Tribolium castaneum: one gene and its partner. The protein of the gene in region 1 purifies or fractionates together with the protein of each later gene. This does not show direct contact. Links are inferred from orthologs where the notes say so. Each region holds a gene or a part of one and is shown in the gene's direction. Other genes may lie near its edges. The genes, in order: E3 ubiquitin-protein ligase KCMF1; acyl-coenzyme A thioesterase 10, mitochondrial.

Evidence for each region.
Region 2: the proteins of E3 ubiquitin-protein ligase KCMF1 (region 1) and acyl-coenzyme A thioesterase 10, mitochondrial purify together in Homo sapiens (affinity purification with mass spectrometry; 3 studies listed by BioGRID and IntAct, with this or other methods). This does not show direct contact. The link is inferred for Tribolium castaneum from reciprocal best matches to the Homo sapiens genes KCMF1 and ACOT9.

The regions. Positions count from the first base shown.
Region 1 is NC_087403.1:4,743,437-4,747,366, forward strand, and holds the start of E3 ubiquitin-protein ligase KCMF1, read left to right. Parts: upstream 1-1,226; 5' UTR 1,227-1,401; coding exon 1,402-1,417; intron 1,418-1,469; coding exon 1,470-1,637; intron 1,638-1,726; coding exon 1,727-1,869; intron 1,870-1,918; coding exon 1,919-2,145; intron 2,146-3,281; coding exon 3,282-3,930. UniProt on the Homo sapiens protein: E3 ubiquitin-protein ligase which accepts ubiquitin from an E2 ubiquitin-conjugating enzyme and then transfers it to targeted substrates, promoting their degradation by the proteasome.
Region 2 is NC_087398.1:5,411,772-5,415,417, reverse strand, and holds acyl-coenzyme A thioesterase 10, mitochondrial, read left to right. Parts: upstream 1-1,411; 5' UTR 1,412-1,527; coding exon 1,528-1,595; intron 1,596-1,643; coding exon 1,644-1,705; intron 1,706-1,751; coding exon 1,752-2,977; 3' UTR 2,978-3,128; downstream 3,129-3,646. Other genes in the region: dolichyldiphosphatase 1, read right to left, coding at 1-66, 161-266. UniProt on the Homo sapiens protein: Mitochondrial acyl-CoA thioesterase. Catalyzes the hydrolysis of acyl-CoAs into free fatty acids and coenzyme A (CoA), regulating their respective intracellular levels. Regulates both mitochondrial lipid and amino acid metabolism.

The DNA.
Region 1 (3,930 bases):
ATGAATTTTTTTGTTGAATAAAATTTTCCACTATAGATATTGCCTATCTTAATTTTTTGCAAAAAACTTTAAAAGTTTACATTTTGTTAAAAGATGGTTTTATACGCAGAATGAGCCGCTGAATTCAATGGAACAAACCGCATTGCTCTACGACTTTTAGTTTTCGAGTTATGAATTTTTTTGTTGAATAAAATTTTCCACTATAGATATTGCCTATCTTAATTTTTTGCAAAAAACTTTAAAAGTTTACATTTTGTTAAAAGATGGTTTTATACGCAGAATGAGCCGCTGAATTCAATGGAACAAACCGTATTGCTCTACGACTTTTAGTTTTTAAGTTATGAATTTTTTTGTTGAATAAAATTTTTCACTATAGATATTGCAAATCTTAATTTTTAGCAAAAAACTTTAAAAGTTTACATTTTGTTAAAAGATGGTTTTATACGCACAATGAGCCGCTGAATTCAATGGAACAAACCGCATTGCTCTACGTCTTTTAGTTTATAAGTTATGAATTTTTTTGTTGAATAAAATTTTCCACTATAGATATTGCCTATCTTAATTTTTTGCAAAAAACTTTAAAATTTTACATCTTGTTAAAAAATGGCTTTATATGCAAAATGAGCCGCTGAATTCAATAGAACAAACCGCATTGCTCTACGACTTTTAGTTTTTAAGTTATGAATTTTTTTGGTAAATAAAATTTTTCCCTATAGATATTGCCTATCTTAATTTTTAGCAAAAAACTTTAAAAGTTTACATAGAGAATAATAGAGAAACTTTATAAAAATTAAAAAATTCGTTAAAGTCCCAAAGGGTGTTGTCCGAACATGATTTTTTTACAGTCGAAGGCCCTATCGAAGGGCTTAATCTTCTGCAAAAATAAAGAAAACTGCAGGATATAAAGGGGGTAAAAAAAATCAGTTTGCATTGCTTGAATATGAGAATAAAAAATGCAGAAATTAAATACAGTTAAGTTTTAATTTGTAATAGAAACACATGAGAATGGTCAGGAGATGTTCTATAAATGTGATATGCAAGTCAGCGTAACAACTTATTGATGTTTTTATAATGATTTACGATTATTTTTGATAATTTTCCTGGTGTGAACTTGGCTGTAGAAAACGAGAATGGTGGGAATGGTGCTAGCTCTATGCGCACAGCGATTGTCTGGTCGACTGTAATGTTCATGGTGCCAGCGCCATTTTTGGTGGTTTTACCGACATGTTACCCGGACGGCGCTAAAGATGGCGTCGCCGGTAAAACAGTAATTGTCATTGTTTTACAAGCTTGTGTTCGGATCAGTGTGATTTTCCAATTTGCAAAATAATTTGTGGTTTCACACTAATTACATGTGTAAATTTTGGTAAAACGTAGTGGAATTAATACACAATATCTGCCATGAGTCGTCATGAAGGTAAGGCTATTGATGTTTACAGTTCCGATGTAATCAATTGATTGGGTTACAGGTGTAAGCTGTGATTCTTGTTTGATTGGAAATTTTAGGGGCCGCCGATACAAATGTTTGATTTGTTACGATTATGACTTGTGTGCGGCTTGCTATGAAGGGGGGGCCACCAATACAAGGCATACGACTGACCACCCTATGCAGTGTATCATCACCAGGGCCGACTTTGGTACGAATTTTTGGTGTTTTCATTCGAACAAATTAACACAATCACGAGAGTTTTGGTAGTTTAGTTGGTCTAAAAACGCTTTTTATTAGATTTCTTCTACGGTGGTGAGGCCTTGACCAGTCTTGAACTGCCTCAGTCCTACACTTGCCCGTACTGCTCTCGTATGGGCTTCACTGATGTAACCTTGCAGGAGCATGTTTCGTCCGAACATGTTGATACTTCGTTTGAAGTTGTAAGTGTGGAAAATTGCTCGTTTTTCGTTTATTAATGACCTTTGGAAGGTTTGTCCATTATGTGCTGCCATGCCAGGGGGTGATCCTAATTTAATGACTGATGATTTTGCCGGACATCTCACTCTAGAACATCGCACCGGCCCTAGGGATTTAATTTCTTTTCTAGACGAACCAGTGGGGACTAGACACAATGTTAGGCGAATTCCCCATAATGCAACTCATATGGGGCGGGGGGCTGCCGCCCTGAGACCCAGGCGGTCCAATATGCATTTCAGGCAAGTGGCCCAAAATTCAACAACGTTTTGGCTTTGAATTATGTTATACAGTGTCCCAGCGAATGTTTCAAATGCAGCACACCATATTTTTTTGCTTTTAAACTGTTGATTTTGACCTAAAAACTGTGGTCAATTTTGCTTAGTTTTCGAAATACAGCCGAACATTAGTAAATTTGCTGAAAAGGAAATTTAAGATTCGAATGGTAGAACACAACAAAGACGTCACATTTTTATTGTTGAACAATCCAGATTTACAGATTTACATTTACAGATTTCCATTTTCTAAGCTACTAAAAATTAGGAAAACACTTCAAAAAAAGCTCTCAACAGTATTTCATATTATCGCCTACAAGGCAATTCTATGTAAATTTTAGGATTACTTCCATTTAAATTATTCTCTCCCATTTTAAATCCACAACAAAAAAACTTTTGGCGCAAAATACATTAAATATAAACTCTTATATTTTGAAAGAAATTCTACACACTAAATTATTTTGAAAATCTCGATGTCAGATTGCATTTTTCCTGGAATGGCTATATATAGAATTTACAATCTTTCAAGCGTTATCGAAGATTTCTTTTGATATATTTGTTCTGATTAATATGAAAACTTGGCTAGTGTTAGCTACTAACACTATAATATAGGATTGTATGAGCTTGTTCAGCACAACAGTGTAAATTTAAGGATTTTACCGCGTTTTTAAAACTAATACAAAAAGCAAATTTATTATGATTTATTTAATGATTTGTTTACAAATTCATTACGAATTCGTGACGCCTCTTGAGTTTCCTAATTCATAGCTGAAAAAAAAATAGTACAAAGTAATTTCATTTGTAAAAAAACAAGTGCACACATAAAAATAAACTTACGTACAAAATTTATTTTACCAATTTTACGGAAAATATTTTTAGCGAGTCAGGAACAACAAATATAAAATTTAAAAAGTATGAACATCAAACTTTTGCACTGACCTTACTAGTAGTAAGTTTATTCAAATATTTTGAGATTGAATGGTCAATTATGTCCCATCTCGCTGGGACAACTGCATATCAAATTACGCGGATAAAAAAGCCAAATATCACAATTTTGTTAAAAACCGTTGTCGGTCTTTAATAATAGAATTTTCTGTGAACAGTGTGTTCAGTTCTGGCGGTTTGTCCTCGCTTTCTCCCTCGTCCAGGGAAACGGTGGACCCCATCGCGGAGTTGTTGTCTCAACTTTCGGGGGTTCGTCGTTCCGCTAGCAACACGAATAGCAGCACTCCGACGCAGCTGCAACAGCTGCAAATGCAACTGCAGCTCGAGCGCCAGCAAGTGAACGCAGCTCGTCAGCAGCTGGAGCGTTTTCCGCGACGTCAAACCCAAAGCCAGACGTCTTTGCGCGAATCTCACGCGTCGTCGAACTCTGGAACTTCGACTTTAATGCTAAACCCTAGCCCGGTTTTGATTCAGCAGCCGTCTGTTAACGCTCCGACCATGCCTTCTCCTCAATCACAGTTCCTTCTGGTCGGGCTGTTAGAGGAGCTGTCGTTGCAGTCAACGACTGATTTGAGTAGGCAAGATCGCAGCCAGTTTGTGCAGGAGTTAGTTTTGTCGTCGGCTGCGCATAGGAACGGTAATAAGGGCTCTAATGAGAAGCCTAATATTAAATCAAAATTGTTTAAAATTGGGGACGGTTCAAGTAAGACTGAAATTTCAGTTGGTGATGAAGCTAGGCCCGTTAGGCAGAGAAACATTGTGTTGAGGGGAAGAGCGAGGTCTGACGCGCAAAATTCGAGAAGGAGG
Region 2 (3,646 bases), on another chromosome or scaffold:
CGAAGCCAGCCCCGATTCCAAAGGGGGCCAGACTGATCAAAGCGAGGATTTTACCGATGAAGTCACCTGGAAATGTTAGTAAACTGTGAAATGTCAAAACTGAAAGGGGGATTTTTGGGTTGGTAGGACGTGTCCGAAGGTGGTTGGAACGGAATTATACCTTTGGGGTACTCGACCAGGGTTAGGGAAAGCGGCACCCATTCTGTTCTGTCAGTTATATCAGTTGGTTTAGGAAAATTGCCCTCGTTCAAATCAAACGTGGCCATTTTGCATTTTATCGCGCTTGACAGATGGGTGACAGGACGGGACGGTAAGCGTGGGGACTGTTTTGTCGACACTTCATGAAAAAAATACAGAGTGTTTTATATAAATAAGCCTTAATCTCTTGGAGACCTACGCATATGATTAATAAATGACCATTAATAAATGGTCAGTAACATAATACGTTTCATAATTCATAATGCCACTGTTGAAATCGTCGGTAAAAGGGACTAAGATAGTCCGCAAAGTAAGCGAGCTTGTGCTGTTGGTTGTATATGATTTTAAGTTTTGAGAAAAAAATTGAAAAAACATTATTGCGGATACTGACTTGGCAAATACACACCATATTTGGCTGCATATTTGCCATAAAAAAATTCAACTTTAGTGCCTTATCATACTTTGTTGAAACCTTTTTTCCATTTATTTTTTGCTCCACACTGTCGTAACAGAATGATCTTTCTCACCTAAATAACTAATTTCAAACGTTTGATAAACGAATTTGAAATTAAATTTTAGACAGCAATGTAAAAAGCAAAATTGCTTTTTTATTATTTTGAAATTCCCACTTCCCACCTCTGTATTAGTCACGTGACCAGTAATGGCGGTTTTTCAGTTGAGTGTTTTCCCATTGTTTTCCGCAGTGTTTTCGTGTTGAATATTTGAAATTTTCTGTGAAATTATAATCACATTTAACTATTTTTACAAACGTTTCGTTAAGACTAACTTTGTTGTGCTTGTGCGAAAAGTAGTGGCCAGAAAAACGGAGCTGAAATACCGGTAAGTTCTGTAGTTTGTTAGAGTATTCCCTGAGTATTCGTGAATAAGAAAACAAGCCTCGAAAGGCAACTAGGTTATTTAATATTTGCGGTAACTTTTTTGCATTTTGTCGTAATGAGACCACAAAGAACTTTCGAAAATTCTTGTGGTGTCTATGGGGGTCACATCAAATTTCCGGTGAATCCCACACCTGAGAATGATTTAATTTGTGCTTAAAAAACTGATCCAACAGTCCGAAAGGATTAACTCATTATCATGGATAGGCATCTGAATAATATGCAACAAAAATTGTTTGAATATTTAATTCGTAAATGAAAAACAAAAAACAAAGTTATCTGTGATTGGTATGTTGGAGCTACCAAGATTGTACATTAAAACTACCACAAAAAGTTTGACGTAATACCGAATCGGAGGTTACGTTTACAAAATGACGCAATAAACTTTTTTGCAACAATTTTGCTTGTCACTTTTTGCAGTATTATTAAAATAATGGCCTCTAGATTAGTACGTAGTTTATCAATCACGAACCGCTTAGTGGGTTCATTTAAATACAAACCGTAAGTCTGACACAACCTTTGAACCCCCGTTCTAATATTCATTCATAGTACTGTCATGAGTCGCTGCTGTTCCACCACGCCAGCCGACAAGGTGTTAACAATACAAGAACGTAAGTTCCCTCATATTCCAACAACCCGCCAAAACTGCATTTCTAGTAACCGTAAATTTGGCGAAAGCTATGGGGGTCGATAGTGGGTTTTCCCCCATCCGGGCCGACCGATCTCACCTCTCCGAATACCTCCCTACAAGCCAAAGCGAACTACCGCCACGAGCTATGCGTGATAGTTATCTCGTGGCCATGATACCCCTTTCGACCAGTACGCGGCTCCAAGACCGGTATACAACGTTTCTGGGGTACGTCCGGGTCGGGCGCTTACTCGAAGACATGGATATTTTTGCCGTGATGGTGGCGCAGAAACATATACTTAACCCGAAACTGCCCGAAGGGACACCCTCTCCCCAAACTCTAGTCACCGCACTGGTGGACAGAATCGACTTTAGCGACTTTGTCCCTAAACCTCATGAGGATATTAAGATTTCGGGGCACGTCAGTTGGGTGGGGCGCTCCTCCATGGAGGTGGTGGTGTGGCTGGAGCAGAAAATGTACGGGACGTGGCACAGAATCACGAGGGCTTTGTTTCTGATAGCAGCCAGGGATCCGACCAATACGAAGGCAGCAATGGTCAATGCGATAGAGCCGGCGGATGACCGCGAAAAGGCTATACTTGCTGGGGGGGAAACCCGCAAGGCTAATAGAATAGCCTTAGAGAAGCAACACGTGTTGAAAGTGATACCGGATCATGACGAACAGAGGATCATCCACGATTTGTATTTGAAAACCAAGTCCAATAAAAATCTAAGTTTCACCAACATGGTACTTCCCGCGAATGGGGTCTGGATGGAAGACTGTACCATCTCAAATACGATTTTTTCGCAGCCGGAAAACCGGAACCTCCACAACACGGTTTTTGGAGGGTTTATCATGAGACAAGCGGCGGAACTTAGCTGGGTTCTTGGGTTCAAATTTAGTAAATACAGGCCTAAAGTCAAGAGTATTAGCGATATTAAGTTTAATAAACCAATAGCTGTGAATTCTCTTATTCATATGTATGCCCATGTGGTCTTTACTCAAATGCAATTTATCCAAATTGTGGTCTATGTGGAAGTTTTTGATCCACAGACGGGAAATACTGACACCACGAATGTTGTACATTTAACTTATGAAGTGCCTGAGATTGTCAGGGAGGTGTATCCTCGGACTTACCAAGAAGCCATGATGTATATTGACGGCAGAAGACATTTCTTCGAAATTATGAAGACTCCATATGACCATGATAACGTGTTAAATGAAGAAGGAATACGCAATAAAAGCAAGCTTTAAAAGGGTTGGGTTCTTGGGTATTTAGTTTAAATCGCAATATGTCATAATTAACTCGCTTTAAATTTCCTTGTTCAATTCCATGCGCAATCATATGTGATATTAACAGTTTTACTAATTTTAATTGTAACTTTATAAAGTTGATCGTTCTTAATTGATTTGTTTCCTTTTTTATTTTTATTTATTTATTTATTTAATAAATATTGCTGGATAAATAAGTTTTCCTGACATCGCACCCGAGTTCTCCCAATAATAAATAAACAGAAAAATTTAAAATAGTTTATTAAAAATTAAATACACTTGTGCACAATGTTTTATAAAAAGTTTTAAAATATAAAAACATCCAAACAAAATAGAGTTGTATCAGTACTAGAGTGATGTGTACCATAAATCACAATAAATATAACAACGATTAAATAACTTAGAAACATTTACACCTGCACAAATTTACAAAACCGTACGACCTAAAAGCTTGACTTATTCGAAAAATGGAAGAATCGACTGAACTAGGCTAACCTTAAAAACTTAACTTATTTGGCAGTTCTTTGTTGTTTGACCCAGATGATTTCCGGACTGTACGTGTTCTCGGGCTCCCGTGTGAACTTAATCACCAGCTCTCGCGACCGCATCAAGAAGACCAACTTCGCGAACAAGTCCTCTTCCATCCTGTAC